Caenorhabditis elegans: one gene and its partners. The protein of the gene in region 3 interacts with the protein of the main gene of each other region in a pairwise test. Each region holds a gene or a part of one and is shown on either strand. Other genes may lie near its edges. The genes, in order: nhr-114, fkh-8, T04C9.1 and F08F8.9.

Region 1 (5,220 bases), on a different chromosome or scaffold from region 3:
TTTGCCGATTTGCCGGAATTTTTCGTTTTCGGGAAATTGCCGGTTTGCCGGAATTTTTCGTTTTCGGGAAATTGCCGGTTTGCCGGAATTTTTCGTTTTCGGCAAATTGCCGGTGTTCCGATTTGCCGGAAATTTTCAATTCCGGCAATTTCGCCGATTTGCCAGAAAATGTCATTTTCGACAAATTGTCAGTTTGCCGATTTGCCGGAAAAATCGTTTGCCCCCGACCCCTGCTTTGAATTATGAACAAAAACCTTCAATCAACTTTAAAATAGCAATGCAACATTTTGAAATTAAAATTTGCAATCAATTTTTTTTGTCAAAAAATGTTCTAAAAATTGAACTAATTTTGCCAAAAATTTACCCCAAAAATCCCGTAATTTCAGATGACGACTGCATTATCACAGGACGAATTTACGGGATTTCAAAATTCGGAAATACAGAAAGAAGAAGACGATGACGACGATGAGTGGGGAGATTTTGGAGAAGCCGTTGTTGCTGCTGCACCAATTCAGGCGGTAAGAAAAAAAAGTTAAAACTTTATTGCAAAAAAAATACCAAAAAAAAAAAATAATAATAAACGTATATAAATAGGATTAGCATTGAGATTTTTTTTCAAGCGTGTAAATATTTCTGGAAATTAATTTATTAAATTTAAATTTATTCACTTCACAATTTGTGAGCAACAACGCTCGTCGTATCACCGAAAAACAGTTGCCGGGCAAACGCCGAGAAGCCGATATTCTCGAAAAAGTCTGCAATCCACACGGCCTCTTTCGATTCGCACGCCATTTTTGACATGGACGTTCCCATCAGAACCAATCGTGCGAATCTGCAACACGGGGATGAAATTGTGATCTATCAGTGCCGGGGGCTAAAAATTTTGGTAAATTGCCGAACTTTTGGTACATTCTCAAAATTTTAATAAATTGCCAATTTTTTGATAAATTGCCTAAATTTTGGGAAATGTTCAAAATTTTGGTAAATTCTTAAAATTTTGGTAAATTGCCAATTTTTTAATAAATTGCCAAAACTTTTGGAGGCACCACCGAAAGGAGAACATGTGAAAAAGGAGAATTACGAAAAGGAGAACACAAAACCACGCCCATTTTTCCATGCCGCGCGCAAGTTTTTGCAGAAACTTGTGCAAATTTTTATTTTCAAACGAGATAACGCGAAGCTCCGAAAGAACGTATCGCGTGTTGTTTATCACACGAATTCGTTAGTTCGGATCTTCGTTGTCTCGTTTGAAAATAAAAATTTGCACAAGTTTATGCAAAAACTTGCGCTCGGCACGGATAAATAGGCGTGGTTTTGTGTTCTCCTTTTCGTAATTCTCCTTTTTCACATGTTCTCGTTTCCGTGGTGCCTCCCAAAATTGTGAGAATTTTTCCAAAATTTTAGCATTTTACCAAAATGTTGAGAATTTACCAAAATTTTAGCATTTTACCAAAAATTTGAAAATTTAGCAAAATTTAGAGAATTTACCGAAATTTTGGTCAAAGTGTTCCAACTTAGCTTACTTAGCTAGTCCGCAACAAGACACATCAAATTGTGATCTATCAATGTTTGATTTGATCGACAAGCGAGTAATAGATGAATGCATCAAAGGAAGGAAAAACGTGATTTCACCAACCTTTCGATTGCCGTGTCCACGTCGTCTTTCATGGCCATGTAGCCGTATAACTGCTTGGTGATGCGGACTCGTTCGTTGTTCACAAGCTTGCGAGCCGGTAGAGAGATGTCAGCGTCTGGAATCGCATCAAAGTGAAAGTTTGGCTCTTATTGAGATTCCGCCCGGACCTGGATTCAGAAACGTTACCGCTTTGAACGCTGCAAATTCGGTTGCGTCGAGCTGTAGATCACGGAACGGCTTGAGCACGAGATCCAACATTTGATACTTTTTCCTGTTGAGTCCGGCTGGCCTATAACGATTGAACACAACGCGGAACGAGACGGGAATTGGGGCTCGGTTTGGAGTATATGTGACCGACAACTTACCGGGTTGGCTCTGGAGTACGATCGAAGTAGGCACCATCTGGGAATACAATTGTGTCTGGTCCGTAGTCCGGGGAGTTCCAGACTTGAACCAGGACTGGGACTGTTATTGCGGCATGGCGAACAAGTTCGGCCTGGAAAGGATTGAAATAATTAAATCGTTATACATGTTTCTGGTTTTCTTCCAACCTTATCTTGATAATCGAGCGCCTCAAAAACATCGAATGTTTTGGCATACTCTGTCAACAAGAACCAGTCTCTCTCGTGCCAATAGTGGTAGTCGTCGTGATTGACGAATCGTAGATCGAAGATCTGATGTCTCTCACTCGGCTGTCCCCACTTTTCCAAAAAAGCCGTGTCGTTCAGCAGAGCCTTTGAGCATAGAGCCTCGTGGAGAGATCGGATTGGAAGATATTCGGAGAGTCGGAGATCATTTGCACACTTTTCGCGTTCGGCAAGAGTTTGTAGGATGCAGCGACGAGGTTTCAGTGGTGCAGCTTGGAAAAGGAGTGGCGAGATTGGTGGAGGCTGTAATTTGGGATCACGTGGTGTCAGAGTTTCTCATTTCGGCTTGATCTACGTAGATCTATAGAAAATGCGGGAAAAGAGACGCAGAGTTCTCAACTGATTTTGCATGGTTGAGAACGTGCTGACGTCACACATTTTTTGGGCAAAAAAATTCTCGCATTTTTTGTAGATCAAACCGTAATTGGACTAATTAATTACCGATAGCTGTAATGGAGACACTGATGGTGGGGTGCTTGCTCCTTCGTCACTTGAACAGTCCGAGGTAGTCTTCAGCTCTTTTTTTGGACGCCTGGTACGTTTTGTGTATCCGATAGGGTCACGGTTTTGTTGGAGGGCGTTTCGGTCCATTCCCACGCTCAAACATTTCTCGAATCGGCAGTATCGGCAGGCACAGCGGATAGCTGAACTTTTGAAATATTTTTTATAAGTTCCTTGTTACTGCTAACAAGTGGTGTCAGAGTGTCCCATTTCGTTTTGATCTACGAGAATTGCGGAACTGATTCCGCATGGTTAAGAACGTGCTGACGTCACATTTTTTGGGCGAAAAATCCCCGCATTTCTTGTAGATCAAACCGAAATGGGACAGCCTGACACCAAGTGTGCTAAATAACTCACTTTTATCAACTGGACAATTGCCCTCGAATTGGCAAATGTACTTTTGTTTCTTCATAATTGTTCGCCGGAAAAATGTCTTGCATCCGACACATGACGGGACACCATAATGGTAGCCAGAAGCGAAATCTTGACAAACGAGACAAACGTGATCACGAGACGAGCTCGGAGACGATTGAGGTGTCATTTTGACCTGAAATACGCCTTGTTTGTATTGGTTTTTTTTGTGACAACGAGAATAATGCCAAGAGACACTAGACACGATAACAAATGCAAAGTGCCCCCGAATCGATGCGTTTTAGAGATAAAATGAAGGAGAAGAGGAGAGGTAAACTACAACAATTGAACTGTGATGTGAGACAGGCTAGGGACAGCTGTTGCAAAAAAACATTTGAACTTTTGATTTCTAATCATTTGAGCAAACTTTTTTTGAAACAATGATTTGCTGGGTGGTTTTGGAAGTTTTTTTGGAAAGAAATCAAGTCCTTGATGAAGTGACTCGGAAAAACGGGCGGTCAAATGATTGTTCATTATCAACATATTAACAGGCTGCCTAAGAAATGAGAATAGAAGACCTTGAGATGTATATTCTATATATGTCTGATATCAACGTGAAGATCGAACTGTCTTGCAATAAAACACAGTGGCTTGGGGCCTGCTGCTGACCAGCAGCTTCATCGCGTCCTCATGTATTTTTCACACTACCCCCTCCTCCTCTCAATTTCCGATCGTCCCCGTCGTCATACGACAAAGATTTGGGACGTTATCGCTGCCCGTTATATACGATTCTTCTTGACCAATGAACAAAGTACATGCGATGGGGGGGGGGGGGGGGGTGGAGCCTCTCTTGGAAAATGCCACGAGAAAACCACGCCATGTAATGTTGAAGAAGGGAAGATTTGATAAAGAAAGAAGTCTGCACCTACCTACTATGTGAGAAGACTTTTGTACACACAGACTGTAGCAGCAGCAGCAGAAGAAGAAGCTACACGTGGTGGCAGAGTGTCTCATTTTGGATTGATCTACGTTGATCTACAAAAAATGCGGGTGAGAAGAAACGCAGAGTTCTCAACTGTTTTCGGATGGTTAAAAACGTACTGACGTCACACATTTTTTTGGGCGAAAATTTCCGCATTTTTTGTAGATCAAACCGTAATGGGACCGTCTGGCACTACGTGAGCTAATCAATTTGTCTATGATACAGGAGACATGAAGAATGAGAAAGTTGCATTGTTAGTTGCTGAGAAATAGGCGAAAATTCGTCCTATTAGATGTTTTGGTCATTTGATTGCTGATAAGACACTGATAAGTGCTAATCAATTTAAGAATTAGTTGTTGGTAAATTTAACCATCTTATGATTAAAATAAAAACATCAATATTTGTACAAAAAATTCTGAGAATGCGTATTGCATAACATATTTGACGCGCAAAACATCTCGTAGCGAAAAAGAAGACTACAGTAATCGTTTAAATGACTTCTGTAGTGCTTCTGTGTCGATTTACGAGCTCGATTTTTGAAATGAATTCTTCTTTTCGAATATTGCCGGTCCAGAGAATGAGGAAAGTTGAATGGACACAGATATTCCGGAACCCAAGGTTGCGGGAAGAGCCGATTTGTATGGATTTACGGAGAGTTTGTGAATAAAAACACTCCGTAAATCGACAAAAATCGTCTCTTCCCGCGCCCCGCCCCTTGGGTTCCGGAATGTCTGTGTCCATTCAACTATCTACACTCTCTGTACCGGTAATATTTGAAAAGAAGAATTTAATTAAAGAATCGATCTCCCGTAAATCGACACAAAAGCACTACAGTAGCCATTTAAACGATTACTGTAGTTTTCTTTTTCGCTGCGAGATATTTTGCGCGGCAAATGTGTTGCACAATACGCAGCATTCTCAGAATTTTTTTTTTCGATGTCAGCGTGGCGAGACCCATGCGCGCAGGATACGCCGAAAATGCTTTTATTCAGACTTCAAAGCGACTTTTTGCAAAAATCCAAAATTGTCCTAAATTTCTTTAAAAAATCACAAACAAAATGAAAAAAAAATCGCGGAAGATTGCAAAAATCCAACTTCACGTA
Region 2 (4,114 bases), on a different chromosome or scaffold from region 3:
ATTTTTCCAGCATCGCTATGTTGGCCTCTCTCTTTTGTGCATGTTGTTTTGTGCTTCCACGATGGCATCTCCAGTTCATCTCCAGATGTTATCGCGTATTGTCAAAGAAACTGTATCTTTAAATATGTACCAAGTATGTTTATGTATCAATTGTCTACTAGCATACTTGGTACGTCTTCAATTTCGCCATCTCCAATCTTTATGACGTTTTTGACATTGGGATTCCTGCCACTTATTGAATTTACGTGACGGAGGTTAACGGGGTTAGACTGAATAATTAATTGCTGTATCAACTCATGAGTACTCAACCAAAAAAGTTGGTGCACATCTGTAGTCAAAAAGTGGCTAGATCGCTCATGAAAATTTGGACACATAGGTTTTTTTTTTCGAATTTGAAATCGAATGCCATTACCAGATTTTTTTTTGGAAAGTACAGGCGTGGCTACATGCATAAACTTGGCGTATAGTATCAGTAAACAATTCATTGAATGTTTACGAAAAATGAATATGAAAATGAAAACTAACTAACAATGTATTTTTGTACAAATGAAATTTGGACACTGTGTGAAAAATATGTGAGTTTTTGAACCTTTAGATTAACAATTTATAGCAATTTATCCCAGTCATACTCATCATCTGAATCATTGTTAACTGGTTGAAGAGTGGCTGAAAGAACAGAATCTGAGGATGAATGACGGCCAGAGTCTGTTCTTGGAGTTGAGACATCACTGTCGCATTCTGCTGGGAATCCATTGTAGACGTAATCTAAATTTTTGGAAATTAAGTTTAAAAATAGTTTCTTTTCATTTTAACCTTTCAACTTATCCGTATCAACTTCTTGAAGTTCTTGTTCATCGTGATAATCAAGTCCAGCAGCTTCTAAGCTTATTTTCAACCAATCGATTTGAGCAGCCTGAAGTTAATAATATACTTTAAGAATTAATTATTGAATTTCCAACACACAAGATCTCTAGAATTTTGCTTCTCAGAACTGAACTTTTTTTTCACTTACTTGCTTCTTCCCATTGGGGGAAGTGGACTTCTCAAAAATTTGATTGTAGACATCACGGAATGATGAGTTTAGATCATATGACTCGAACAAATTCAAATCTCTTATTTCGTGTTCCTGTGAATGAAATAAAATTAAGCTTGCATGAGGGAATGTTTGATAAGATACCGTAAGTTCATGTACATTTCCATTAATTTCTGACAGGAATGGATCTTCTGGCGGAGGAGTGAAATTTGGCATGTCTTGTTTATCTGAAAACAATTATTGATATTGTTGATCAGTTATAATCTTATGTATTACTATGATATAGATGCTCGTAAATTGGATTTACTCGCACTGGGGATCCTTTGAGAATTCGTGGTTTCTTGGCTGGCGGATCTACACAAACCCACCATCCTCCTGTAAAAATGAATTCAATTAAATTAATCATTAAATAATTATCTCACTTCTATCTCCATCAGTCTTCTCAATGCGGCTGAATTGTTTATTTAATGACAGATTATGGCGAATGGAATTCTGCAATTTCAAACGTAGAATTCCAATATCCGGAATAAGGATTACCTTCCAACTTGAATTCCGGTTTTCACGATAGAATTGAAAGTTGTGAGCAATGAAAGAGTAGATTTCAGCAAGAGTACATTTTTTATCGGGAGTATCTTCGATAGCTAGACGAATAAGTTGAGAGTATGAATATGGTGGCTTATCCGCTCCATCAAAAATTCTCCTCCGTTTTCCTTCGTGTGCAGGAGCCACTGGCTGAAATTAGAAAGCAATTATAAAAGAGCAATAGATCTTTCTAAAAACCAGATGTTGACCTCAGCCACATAAATCTAATTCGAGTTATGACGCTGCAGGTGCCACCCTCACCGAAATTGAATTGTATGAAATTACCGGCGTAATTTAATTTCAAGGAAGGACGAAAAAGGCCAGGTCATTTAGATTATGTATTCGAAAAATATATGTAAGTGATGTTTGCAACTAAATTAAAATTATTAATTCTAAAAATATGAGTAGATTTGCAACAAAACATTCAGAGCATAATTGAAAGAGTTCTCTGATTTTCTATGACATTTCAAATATTTATTAAAATTGCCTTTGACGTTTCTGCAGGTACTGTAGGAGATAGGACCAGTGGCGAAACATTCACAGATCCAACAATATTAGGGTTTTCAGGTACTTCGATTTCTTGTACTGTGTTCAGTCCACCTTTGGCAATGAGCCAGTTCAATTGGCACAAGCTTGAGCTTAGATCTGACATCACAAGTGATTGACCTTCTGAAATTAAAACTGTGGATCTTAAAAAAGAGGAGAATCGGTGGATGAATGGAGGAATAATTGAGATTGGAAATGCATGAGGTTTGTGAAAATGGAATGAAGAGGAAAAGAAGAGAAGCGAGGAATGCAGCAAGCAGGTGACACGAAAATCGATGCAGAGCAGGCGGCGTCGTTGGGGCAACCAACAGACTGAACGGCTTCAGGGAAAAAGAGGAGCGAATGTTAGTCTGTGCATGAATGAGTCATAGAATAAGGAGAAGGTGGGACCAACAAGACAACAAATAAAAAAGAAATAAAAGTAAGTAAAAGAGCAAACATCGAAACCTCAACGAGATCCACGACAGAGTGATTCAAACGAAACAAGTCTTGGAAAAAATTCTTATTTTTGGGGTGTTGAGAACGAACACAAAACGTATTCAGGTTTTTCCAGGTATTCTTATTCAGATATGATATTTTTGTAAAACAACATTCATTAGCATGGGAGCCGTAGTAGTTGGGTTACTGTAGCACAAGTTTCTGTGATTTTATGACTCGTTGAATAACTTTGAACAATTTCTTAAAGTGATTTATATTCAAAATTTGCCAAAACAAAATCATGATATTTAAAAATGGACACGTATGGTTTTCTATTCTAAGAAAAAAACGCATGTTCAGTCTATTAATTTTACAACAAAAGTGAGCTGATTTTTGGTGGAACTCGATTGCACCTGACATAGTCATCTTTAAATAACTAAAGTTTATTTTAGAATATTGTATTCAGTTTGACTTACTCGAAAAAATAAATAATGAGTATACTATACCATCAACTCGTTGTTTTTATTTCATACTGCCGGGCCTGAAAAAACATCACTTCTGAGAATATAAATCTAAATTTGGGAAGTTATAGACAACTGCTAGGGGAGAATGCGTCAGAACCCTTTTGAAAATACGCGCGAGGCGATAATTTCTGGTCAGAAGTGAAACAAGACGGCGGCTGATTGTGTGAGAAAATAGAAAGAAAAGGTGCAAAACACGAGAAAGAATACATTCAATGTATTATATCATTCTGAAACTCACTTATATTCATTTGATCATTGATTTCAAATATATGACATAAATCGAAATTGGAAAACATTTTTAGATTTTTGTGCTGCTGAATAACTGTATGTAGTTTTAGAGCGTTTAGATTACAAATCTATAGCCCGTAAGGAAAACATAAATACCGTATTTCCTATATTAATCTTGATTCTTGCACTCTACGGGGTAATTAAAAAATATTGTTGCAGAGATTACAGCTGATTAAAAAAATGATTTCAATTGTAATTCAAATTTTAGAGATGTGATTCCATTCTGAACAAAAAACGTGATTAAAATGAAATAAATGAATTGAGGGCATTGGGACATGAAAATAAAATGCCATCCGCGTGAAACGTCTCATCAGATGAACAACCGGAGTTTTGATTATTTCTGAATAATATTTTGTATCGATTGCCTACGCGAATTTCGAAGGTGAGCGAAGTTTCTAGAACATGACAACGTGGAACCAAAATCACTTCAGATGTCAAAATCAAGGCGCGTGTTTCTCTCAATGCAAGGAGATGATGACTTCTGGGGTAATGGTGATAGATTTGAAGAACACAAGCTGTCGAAGATGAATCGTCGTAAATGTCGTGGTATGATGGACACTGCAAAAGATGATGTGCTAGATGAACATTTTTTCAAACAAAATAACTTGGTCACTCAAGAATTGGAACAGCAAAATGCCAAATCCAATGATATGTTTCGTGAAAGACAGGACTGGAATTCCAGCACTCCATTGGAGAAGATAAACTTGGTGGAGAGTGAGGATCC
Region 3 (4,637 bases):
TAATTATTTTGAAAAAATCACGATTTTGTATTCTTATAGCGATTTATAATTATCGACTTTCAAAAGTCTTAAAATTAATTTTTTTATCATCGAAAATTTTTGTCCTAATTTTGCAAAATTAATTGTGAATTATCTTTCAAAGTGGTTACTGTAACGCTACAAAACTGTTAAGTCTCTTGTTTTCTTTACTATCATTTTATTTTTTTCTAAATTTAAAACCACATTTCAGTAATTTTTTTAGTGAAATTTTCAAATTTCAGGCCAATTGAAAAATTGAAAATAATTTTTGGAAAAGATTTTCACAATTGAAACTGGTAATTTATTTTTTGAAAATATTAGTTAGATTTTTATAAAAAATAACAAAATCGAACGAAAAATTTTAATTTTTAAAAGAGGCTCTCATTTTGTGAAAACCGAATATTTTATTCATAAAATAATAATTTTCTGGTTGATTTTTTCTAAAATCGAGAACTTTCAGATGCATTTTTTCATTTTGAATTTTTTTAATAAACCAAATTTTGTATATAGAAACTTACTCGGAATTTTGCTCTTTTCCTGCATATACACGTATCCTTGTTTAATTGATGGCGTCGGTCGTCGATCTTCAGAACCCGGCTGTAATTTCAATAAAAATTTGCGATGAATATGAAATTCCAAAGTATGAAAAAACTTACTTTTGTATGAGAAGCCAACAGTTTTTTCTTAAGCTCTTCTGCCTCAGCATTCGTTGCATTATAATTTTCCTTTGTCTGAAATTCGATAAAATTTCGATCTGACGGGGAGAGTTTTTTAAACTAACCTTTTGAACTTTTGTTTGTACATTGTCAAGGAATGGTTTGAAATCTTGATGAATCACACTACCTGAAACAGGAAAAAGTTTTAGAAAAATGCAAAAAAAAATGATGTGTCTGGAAACCAAATTTAAAAATAATAATGCCTTTTTGTGAGTAGTTTGATTTTTTTTTCTTCATTTTCGATGATATTTCGATAATTTATAGAAAAAAAATGAAAAAATATATTTTTGTTTAATTTTTAATTTTTTTTTCATTCTGGTCGAAATTTTACATGAAATCCGAATTTCTGTAAGTGAAATAGAAAAGTTTGTGATTTAAAATAGTTAGTTTTATTTTCAAAATTATAATCGAGACAAAGTTGTCGAAAATCTGATTTTTCAAGTAATTTCTATTTTTTTTTGTGAAAAATATTCAAATTTATAAAATTTGTATAATCATTCAGAAACTTTTTTTTACCTGTACAAATACTTACCAACATGAAAAAATGAAAGCCACGAATAAACATAAGATCCTAATGTTTCGACAAACTCGAACCGCATTCGTTCTTGAACTGATTGAACTTCTGCCACATACTGTAAATTTTTTTTATTTTTTATTTTTGAGAAATTATGTTGAATATACTTTTTAACTGAAAATAGCAATTTATATTGTACTATTTCCAACGGCAAATTCTTAAAAACTTGAATTACACTATTTAGAAAAACTAAAAACGAAAACTTTTGATTTTTTTAAATTCTGAAAAGGCAGAAAGTTTTTTTTTTTTTGAAAGAAATTTTAAATTCGCAATATTTCAGAAAAAAAATTTTTTTTGTTGATTTTTTTTAATTCGAAAAACCAAAATTCCTTCGATTTTCCAAAAAAAAATTTAGAAAGAAATTTTAGTCTAAAAATAGAAAATGGCCAAAATTTCATTAATTCTGAAAATTAAAACACAAATTTTTTCCAATTTTATAATTTGAAGACAACTTTATAAACTCAAACCTGTAACGAAGCTTGAAAAAAGTTTTTCTGTTGAGTCTCCAATTGGGCATCAGCGGCTCGAAAATCGTTATTACGAACAGTACTCAGATGAAGATGTTTTTCAAGTGTTTGATAGAACTTGCTACTTTCTTTGTCATATTTATTCTTTTCCTCTTTCAATGTTCTACCAATCGCCTCAGTTCGAAACTTTTTTATTGGTTCCAAATAACTTTCTTCAGCTTGTCCAACAAGTTTCATTCGTTCATCTTCGACTTGATTGATCAGACTTCCGAATTCTTTTAGACATGTGGCTGAAAATGTGAAATATTATTTCAAAGACAATAAAAATATTTATGAAAATTAAGCATTTTGGTAAATTACAATGAGAATCACTTGCAATTTGGATTTTGTTAACTTTCGATAGATTTTTTGGGAGAAAAAACTGAAACGAATTTTTTTATTGAAGGAAACTTATAAAAATTTCAAAATTTCACGAACAATTCAGATTTCGAAGGTCTTTGTTGGAATATTGAAATTCGAGACAATTAAAAAAATTTTAAAAGAGAGTTCAACACTATTTTTTTATTGTAAAAAATATGACTTTGAAAAATTTGGCAAAAATGAACGGTTGCTACGGCAAAATACTCTTTTTTGCTATTCCTAAAAATGTTTAAAATTTTTTTTTAACTATGGTAAATTAAAAAAAATTGAAATTTAATAATTTTAAAACATTTAAAAACATGTTTTCAGCAAATTTCGATTTTTCTTGGCTGGATAATAAAATTCCGAAATTAATTTTTTTACTGCGAAATTTTTTTAAAATAAAAATGTTTTGTACTTTTTTTTTTAACATCGCGTATTTTTTTATATAAATTTTTGCTAAACAAAAGTCTCACCAATAAACCGTTCATCATCTGTCTGATTTGTTCCGACTGTTTCAAACTTGAATTCACTTAACGTCTTTGCGAATGCTCGTTGTGCTGTTGAAAGCTCTGCAATAAAAATAATTATAAATTCCACGCGATTAAATGGAAAAGTAAAGGGTCAAAAAGAGAGAAAAGCCACATACTTTTTGTGCACGCAATCAGCTCCTTGCACTGATTCTCAATGAGCTTGATGTTCTTGAAAGCGTCGTCCAGTGCCACTTCGTGATCATGCAAATTTTGTCGAAACCACGGAGAATCGGATATCGAGTCCGAAAACTCGAGCGCCCGTAACACCATTTGTGATGAGCGCAGAGTCCTAAGTAGACGGGTTTTGTCTACTGGACAAGGTGTCCTGAAATTATTTTTGATTGGAATGATTTGCAGAGATTTTCAAGAGAAAAAGCCTCAGTGATAGGCAAACATAGAGAAATGAAAAGAAAAAATTGTCTCAAAATACCACAATTTTTTCTGAAACATGAAGGAAAAGATGAGTAGAATGAGGAGAAGAAGTAAACAATTAAAAGAAAAGGAAAGAAGAACTCGCGGGGGATATGGACAAGCGAAGAGAAGAAGAAGAAGAAAAAGAAGCAAGAAACTTGATACTTGAGGCGACGAAGGAATATCTATGAGTATCTATCTATCTGCTACATGAATTCTGACACTACCAATGGAATTAGCTGATGAACCGAGCAAGAATTGATATGGAAAATGAGAAAGGTAATCAGATAAATGAAATATAAAAAGAAAATCCATCACATCATAAATTAGAATAATTATGAAGCTGCCAAAATAAAACTTCCAAGTGTGACCTATTTTACGACAAAACATAGCGTACACCTTCACAACAAATTGTCTAATCGTGCGGGAATCAACGCACATCCGGAGGATTGAAGAGGTTGCAACAATCCTGACGATGACAGATAAGAATCAAACGGCAGTGCGTCCCTCCTACGTGTAATTCTTTCGTTACCTAACGATGCGTGAGCTTCGGTTTTGAGCAAGTTCGGGCACGTCGAAAACACGAAGGCAGCCGAGTGGAAACAATTTTCGAAGAGCCCCTAACCCGGCTCATAAAGAAGAGAAGCTGGAGGAGAGAAGATGCGAGAAAAGTAGTTGTTGCTTGTGCCTCAAAAAGAAAGAAACCGAAGATGACGATGTGGGTTCCAGAAGATGATAAGGATGGGGCTAATAATGATGATTAGGTAAAAAAGAACGGAAGTTTGAGACGAAATAGAGGAAAAGGAGAAGAGAAGTCATGGCTCGGATGAGGACGAAAAAAATGTTGGAGCGACCAACAAAAATAACCAAATTTGTATAGGAGCCGAAACAAAGTTATCGCGTTATTTGTGTTGTGGCCATGCTGTTGTGTGCCATCGCCAAAGAAGGAGAGGCAGAGGAGAAGGACGAGGACTCCAACACAATTCGTCATTTTTTCTAGCTTTTCTCATTTTTTCAAAGAAGAAGGCGACGACGACGACGACAGTGATGGCGTTTATGGATGGAAGGGATGACTCTTGCCGTCTGGAACTTGTCGATCCGATTCGAATCGAAAGGAAAGGCGGACGACGACAGCGGCAACGGGAAGCAGCAATGCGGAAAAGAACAATTCTCCGGGGGGAATGAGTATATATGGGAAGAACGAGCAGTAGAAGAATGAGCGAAGAGAAGGACTGCTTCTTCTTCTTCGTCATTTTCTTTGCTCCGCTCTCGTCATTGCAATGGCACAAATACATACACACACTTGCATCCGTCCTTTCGTCTTTAGAATATATCCTAAAACGAAACACTTGACAATATCAACGCTTTCTAGTTTTTCTCAAAAAATTCGAATCATAGAAACGAACGGATGAGTCGCGGCACGGCGAACGTCAGAATATTCGAGTGGTCGACGGAAAGCGATTATGAAGAGGAAAGAAAAACGACGACAGCGGCGACGGAGGAAGAAGTAGGGGAAGAA
Region 4 (6,863 bases), 1.4 Mb from region 3:
ACTGTACCCGGTCTCGACACGAAAATGTTCTTTATAAATGCCCTTTTTGGTTTTTTCATTAGTTTCTTTTTCTTTTTTAAAGTTTTTTTTTCAGAATATATAATATTTGGGTTTTTCAAATAAATACATATATTTTTTTTGAAACTTCCGCATCAACACAATTCAGAAAGTGCAGTACTCTTCAAAGGCGCACACTTTTTTGTATTTTATGAAAATGTTTCGTGTCAAGACCCGGTATCGTATTTTCTGAGGATAAAATCGTAAAATTCTTGGTAATACTTACCATGAGAGCTAGCCGTTAATTTATTCAGGGAGACGAGCTTGACATCGATGGAATTTTCTGTGCTTCGGGCTTTCTTCCGCAACGCTTCCCAAGTTTCTGACATTCTGTGTTCCTGAAAGTATTGTTTTTTCGAGTGACTGAAATGTTGGTCACTACTATGAGAAATAAATATATTCATCGATATTTTGACGATTAGAAAATTAACAACAAATAAAATTAAACGGAAGTTATGAGTAAAACTTCATTCAAAAACTTAAATTGAATTAAAAAAGAACGAGATTTTCCAATAACGATTCTACGATTGAATTGATTTCGAACAAAACAAAGTTTTCCAGCCAATTGTGAATCAAACTTCTTCGTCATCACTGATATCTTCCATATTGACCGTTACTTGAACGTTTTTGTTGTTACGACGACGTTGTTTCCTGCTGGGACCTTCAGCTGAAAAAAATATGTGTATTACCACTTTGCCATTTTTGATAAGAAATTACTGGATCCGGTCATGGCGCGACAGAAACATTTATGAACTTTTATGGATTACTGTAGTTGCGAATTTTCCTTGCTATTTATCTCGTTTCTTTGATGTGATCACATCAAATACTTTTAAAAATTATTTTATTTAATATTTGTTTTCAAAGAAATTTTAAGAGCAATGTCAATGAAAAGGCAGATAAAGTATTAAATAACTGGGGGTGGCGAACTACTGTACTCTTGAAAGGCGTGAGACCGGGTACTGTAACTTTGCATCAAAACTCGATTTTTTTGCAACTATAGACCTATAGGTTATGATTGAAAAAAGTTTTTTGTTTGATTACCTGGTTGAATACTTCCTGCTCTACTTTGATCAGCCGATCGCTTCAATGGGCCTGGGCTTGAAACTGAAAATAGAAAGTATGAGGATATTTGAAATAAGAAGATTTGGGGAATCAGCTGGGAATTATTTGAATCAGGAATGAGTATATTCAGCCCAGTAATTAAAACCAACAAATTTTGATTTTATGCTTCAAAAATCGTTAAATTATCGAACAGGTATTATACATCTTGGTAGGTAGGCATGCGTGGTTTGAAGGTCTAGGTGCCTGCCTGAAACCTTCCAGCCTCTCGCCTCTTTCTGCATTCTGACATTACTTTACGAATTTATATTTTGTAATTTCAATCAATTTAATGTGAATCAAATTGAGAAATGAAAAAATTAAATTCATGTGTATTTTAGCAGAAGGCACCGGTTTGAGGCGCGAGGCAGGCATTTTGACGCCTACGTGGAAGTCCAATGATGGGGAGTAGAAATAGTCAAATTTGAAGATTATTAGCGTCAGAAGTTCTAATCGTAATTTTTGGAAAAACCCTCTGTTACGATTTGAATACTGACTGCAAAAATAACCAAAAAACATTATGAAAGAGAGAAAAATCGAAAATCCAAGAAAGAAAACGCGTCATCATGTGAAATCGTTTGTCTGTACCTTCTTCGTAGACTCTTCCCTGTCGTCTCGCTAATTCTCCTCCCAGTCTCTTCTTTCTTTCGACTCGTTGTCCATAATAGTGAGAAGCAGCGGGATCCTCGTTGATGCTTATCGACCGCGAAGTCGAAGAATAGTTGCCGCCAACAGATGGATTTTTAGATTCGTGATGGGAACTGTATTCTCGATTATCATAGTTGTGCTGGCTGAAAAGAGGGGATAATAGAATATCAGTTAATCTGAAATTCTACAAGATATGGGGGGGGGGGGGGTTGAATAGGGGGAATAAAAGTAGAAAACAAAATATATTTCCTCAAACTTTTTTGTGAATGGACACAAAATGTTTCACAAAGCCTAAGCTTGATGTAATTCTAAACGAGTATCTCAGAGCTTTACAGATGGCGATTAGAAATCTCAAACGATCGATTATAACATTCTGAGCCACAATTTTCCCATTTTCAAATATTTTCGTTCAGAGTCTTTCAATGATTAGCCAGAACGAATTCAGTTACTTCAGAACTAGAGGTCACTGTCCGATGTTTCTGAATTCGAAAGAAACAATGAAAAGTTGAAAACTGTGATCGTAATCGAAGGTTAATTTCAATTAAATAATCAAAGAAAAATCAATTGATTGTTACATCTCAAAAAAATTAGACGAATATATTGGGAATTTAGTGGAATCTCTCATATCAACTTATCCTTCAAAAGAGAAGGCAGAAAAATATGAAAAAAAACAGGAATATGGGATAGTATTAAAAAAGGACTTGTTCAATTATTTCAAAAACGTACCCTGTATGACCCGCATGAGTTCTACCATTCTCGAAACATTCTCTATCTCTGAGCTCTCTTTCCCTCAGCTCCATCAATTGCTGCCTCTTTGCCAATTCCATTTCTCGATGCCGAATTTCAGCTTCCATTTGCATATGCATTTTCTTCGCGTTGATCATATGAAGCTCTTGCTCAATTTCCATAAGTCTTTTTTGTCTCAAAAGTTCATCTTCGGAAGCTTCCAAAGGTTGTGAATGGAGAGAAGCAAGAGAAGCGGAAAATTGATTCGTGTTGAAATCTTGATTTACTTGCTGATTCGGTTGATTATATTGTGGAGTTGTGTAACCATTAATTGCTTGATTTATCAAATCTGGAACCATCGGAGTATATTGTGAAGACTGTTGATATGAAGAAGAAGAAGATGGAGTTTGATTTGGAAAAGAAGAATATTCTGATGTCTGGTACGATGGGAAAACATTGGAAGTTCCAGAAGTTGGAACGGTTGAATAGTCACTCGTGGCAGATTGTGGGTTCCAATGGTTTCTTGTTGGATCATCATAAGCAGATGCCGAGGATTCAGATATTGGTTCGTGCACTGCAACACCAAACGAAATGACAGAAGATGTTGATGTTTGTGTTGGATCCGTAGCTCCACCATATACAGGAACAGAACTCGACGAAGATTCCAATTGACGAGAAAAATTGGCATATTCTGATGGTTGATATGGCTGATAAGTCGTAGAAGTGTCTGGAGTTGATGCAAGGAAAGTCGAATATCCATTTGTTGAAGGATCGTAATTCCATTGACTCTCGGTGTTAGGCCTGAAATTATACTTTGAAATTTTGTAATTAATAATTTTTTATTCAAAAATTGCTTTCTTTATTTTAATCGCTCGATTGTCAACAGGGCTGATAAATTTTTAATTTTTGACACAAAAATCCCAAAAAAACACTTTCAGTAAGTACATTAAACACTTTTCATAATTTGCAATTTTTTAAAAAAAGAAAAATGTGGTTTTTTAATAGTCTTCTCGAAATCTATAAATCTTTAATAGACTCTACTTCTTTTTGGTTTTTTTAAACCAATTTAAATGTTTTGATTTTCGTATTTTTTTGGTCCAAGATCAACACCTAAAATTTTTTTGTAATTTTTTCCCCAGCCCTGTTGTCCGAACTTGTAAAGTTTTTTAATCACGACTTACCAAGTATTTCCGATATGTTGATATCCTCCGGATCCTTCCGAACCTTGATAGTTCGACGAAATATCAAAACCACCATTGTAATCTTCTCCCGTTCTTTGCTTGAATGATCTGGCTTTTTCATCAAATTTGATATCCATCAGTGGTTTGGCGTTTTTGTTTTTTTCCTGATTTTTCATCTGTTTCTTTTGATTAACATTCTGTTTCGGCGGAACAGCTTCCATGTGTGCTTGTTTTACCACAATATTGGCGAGATGAGGTTTATTAGCTCTTTTCATAAATGTTTCCTTGTTGAGAAGCCATAGCAATCTGCATTTGAACTTTATTCTGCCTTGATGCTTCGTTGTATAAGTCGGAAACTGGGGATCACTCTGTAGAAACGTTTATTTTAAGGTAGAGTTTTCAAATTTGGCTTAAAATGGATAGCAATGATCGAATAAAACTGTTTAAAAAATTATGAAATATACCAAAATGTTTAGTCTTTTTTTTTGTGCAAGTTTTTAATATTTTTGCGCTTTCAGTCTATATTAAAAAGGTTTTTTTCCGTTTATCTTAATCTCTTGATTTGCGACATAGTTCGTCTATTTTTCAGAAGTCTTTCCGTAAAGAAACCTTAATAACTATAAAACTTCGCTAAAACTTCAAAATTGCCATTAAAAAAGCTATAATTTTTCTATTATAAAAATGTTTGAAAAATTGGCAAACTGTGTTTTGAGTCAAATATTACAGAAAAATGGAGAAAAATCGATAAATATAGCCAGAAAACGCGAAAATCTCAAAACATTCAACTAATTTTTTTGAATTTTGAAAAATTGAATTTTTTTGAATAATAGAACTTTTTAACAGTTATATTAGATAATTAAGGTCCATATTCTGCCATTTAAAGCGAATTTTTAATTTTACTTTAAAGTAGTAAATCAAAAAAAAACTTACCAATGTATTCTCTTCAATATGGATCTTCATTGCCTTTTTCTCCAGTAAAGTGAGTTTAGCCTCCTCTTCTGCCACAAAAAGCCCGTTCATACTTGCCGGTTTACCAGTATCGGTGATTCTGAGAAAAACAAAATAAAAAATGAAAAAATTAAAGACTTTCTCACAAATTTTTCAAAAACTTGTTGTTTAGATTTTGTTTTTGTTTCTGTTTTTGCTTTGGTGGTTTCGGAGGTTTTTCCTTCCTTTCTTCAGGCTTCTCAGTAGAGTTGACCACAGTTTCAGTTGAATTTCCATCGGTCTCCTTGGGTTTCTTGGGAATTCGCGCAGATGGGAGTTTGCGTGCTTCAAGTGGAACTCCGATAACTGGGATTATCTGGAAAACATTTTATATCGATTATTCATTTTCTATTTTTTGTCTAACATTTTCAAAAAAAGTTTAATGATTTTTTGGTATTAAAAACAATTTATAATTTAAAAGTTATCGCAAGTTGTGAGTAAACAGAAAAATTACCTTATTATCCCATTCCGATGACATTTTGGGAAGAATATTCAGCTGAAATTGTGAAATTAAAGCGTTTTCTGTAGTAAGTACAGCTGTGCAACAGACTTTACGACACCGCCCGCAAACACTATGACGTCACGACGCACCACTTTAACGTGGCAAAGTTTAGAAGGGAACAGTTAAAAAAATATATAATAAAGACGATTTTTCAACGTCTACAAGTTTACAGGGAAAAGAAGGGAAAAATTATAATTTATTCATTAGTTGAACAAAGCATAACATTTATAACACTAGTATTAAAACATTTACAAATGGAAATCGCCACTACATTCCTTCTAGTCATATTCCATTCCTCCGTGTTGATATTGATTTTTAGGATACTTCTTATTCCCACCGCGACTCTTTTTTGGGAATGCTGAAAATGAAACTTGCTTGCAACAAACCAAAGTTATGTCTTATTACCGGGCTTAATTTTTCCTTGATAATGATGGGAGTCAACCGGCCGATTCCAAGAGGATGAACCTGGAAAACATCCAACTTATCAGGAAAAGGGAGTACGTTTCAATAAATAGTAATTTGAATATTGAAAATGATCAACTGCAAAAATTCAGATATGAAAAATTTTGTAGTTACAATTTTACTCACAAGAAAATCACACCTCGAAATAAAATTTCCAAAGTTGAATTCAAATGTGCAATGGTGAATTGTTTCTTCTACAGTACACCACATAATATAGTTATTGCTCCTGTGGTCTTAATGGTATGATTGAATAATCAAAACCAAGCCGAAACATTAGCATCACGAGATAATTGTATCTCCACTGAGAAACAAAAGCTCAAATATTGGCAGGCTCTACAGAATAATAGTACCAATTAGAAGATTCGGTTAAACACACGAATCTAACTTGGGTACTGTTTTTTTTTCTAAATTTACACTTTACTATAATCATATTCTTTCAAAATATTTAGTGTGGTATATGTTCTGTACCTTCGCGTGCTCCATGATCATCGTCATAATACTCATGTTCATCTACATCGAAATTTTGCCCTGAGTGATGTCTTCCACGGCGCCGAGAACCGAACGAGTTCGGATTTTTATTAGCTTTCATCGGACGGCCATCTTGATAATAAAAGTCATCCTGTGGATGATGAGAATCGTGATAGGAGGAGTGATGATTACTGTAGTCTGAACGGCCACAGTATTGAGAAGCATAGCTGGAAATTTTCTCACTTTAAAATATGGTCTCTTTATAAATGATGAAGTTTTCGACTACATGTTTCAGTAGGCATTCAAATTCATTCATAAGAACATATTGAACAATTCAAATTTCGACTTTCATGCTTGAACTCCGTGAGAAGCAATTTAGCACATGATGCATCATGAATATAGTAATTCGGGAATAGGCTACTCGATAACATATCATGAATTTTTTCTCAAACCTCAGTTTTAGAGAAAGTTCTGAATTGTTGTATAATTTGAGAAGCTGAGCATGTGTGAGTTTCTCAGCAGAAATATGAATTTACTGCAAAATGACTCAGCATATGCACTACTTCGTAAAACATTTATGTAGGGAGTTATTAAAATTAAATTCCAAAACTTCCGATTAAACAAGTTGATTATCAGAAATACCGCCTGTTTTCCAAGAAGGTATACACAGGTACAAACTGGTTACTTTCTTTGTTATACATGATATACATATGAATATTCACATAAATATGGCA

What was found.
Region 1: the proteins of T04C9.1 (region 3) and nhr-114 interact in a two-hybrid assay, tested with the Caenorhabditis elegans proteins (2 studies listed by BioGRID).
Region 2: the proteins of T04C9.1 (region 3) and fkh-8 interact in a two-hybrid assay, tested with the Caenorhabditis elegans proteins (2 studies listed by BioGRID).
Region 4: the proteins of T04C9.1 (region 3) and F08F8.9 interact in a two-hybrid assay, tested with the Caenorhabditis elegans proteins (2 studies listed by BioGRID).

Annotation. Positions count from the first base shown.
Region 1 is NC_003283.11:4,185,314-4,190,533, reverse strand, and holds nhr-114 (Nuclear hormone receptor 114), read right to left. Parts: upstream 3,332-5,220; 5' UTR 3,326-3,331; coding exon 3,142-3,325; intron 2,928-3,141; coding exon 2,725-2,927; intron 2,527-2,724; coding exon 2,188-2,526; intron 2,133-2,187; coding exon 2,002-2,132; intron 1,926-2,001; coding exon 1,804-1,925; intron 1,752-1,803; coding exon 1,637-1,751; exon of another isoform or gene 1,524-1,636; intron 833-1,523; coding exon 670-832; 3' UTR 530-669; downstream 1-529. Other genes in the region: Y45G5AM.9 (Aftiphilin clathrin-binding box domain-containing protein), read left to right, coding at 387-518. UniProt on the Caenorhabditis elegans protein: Probable transcription factor which may have a role in detoxifying dietary metabolites arising from bacterial tryptophan metabolism.
Region 2 is NC_003280.10:6,189,108-6,193,221, forward strand, and holds fkh-8 (Forkhead box protein pes-1), read right to left. Parts: upstream 2,287-4,114; 5' UTR 2,268-2,286; coding exon 2,103-2,267; intron 1,766-2,102; coding exon 1,571-1,765; intron 1,526-1,570; coding exon 1,456-1,525; intron 1,409-1,455; coding exon 1,310-1,408; intron 1,261-1,309; coding exon 1,178-1,260; intron 1,127-1,177; coding exon 1,013-1,126; intron 914-1,012; coding exon 814-913; intron 766-813; coding exon 605-765; 3' UTR 516-604; downstream 1-515. Other genes in the region: cpb-2 (Cytoplasmic polyadenylation element-binding protein 2), read left to right, coding at 3,822-4,114.
Region 3 is NC_003281.10:5,991,614-5,996,250, reverse strand, and holds the start of T04C9.1 (Rho GTPase-activating protein 26), read right to left. Parts: upstream 3,033-4,637; 5' UTR 2,978-3,032; coding exon 2,824-2,977; intron 2,747-2,823; coding exon 2,651-2,746; intron 2,066-2,650; coding exon 1,776-2,065; intron 1,367-1,775; coding exon 1,267-1,366; intron 862-1,266; coding exon 800-861; intron 750-799; coding exon 675-749; intron 616-674; coding exon 537-615; intron 1-536. Other genes in the region: T04C9.2 (uncharacterized protein), read right to left, coding at 4,021-4,371.
Region 4 is NC_003281.10:7,348,779-7,355,641, forward strand, and holds F08F8.9 (uncharacterized protein), read right to left. Parts: upstream 5,194-6,863; 5' UTR 5,176-5,193; coding exon 5,152-5,175; intron 5,014-5,151; coding exon 4,805-5,013; intron 4,759-4,804; coding exon 4,641-4,758; intron 4,079-4,640; coding exon 3,711-4,078; intron 3,331-3,710; coding exon 2,530-3,330; intron 1,947-2,529; coding exon 1,744-1,946; intron 1,162-1,743; coding exon 1,099-1,161; intron 725-1,098; coding exon 630-724; 3' UTR 513-629; downstream 1-512. Other genes in the region: gos-28 (Golgi SNAP receptor complex member 1), read right to left, coding at 284-386; F08F8.10 (Nuclear transcription factor Y subunit), read right to left, coding at 5,478-5,557, 5,605-5,664, 6,130-6,356.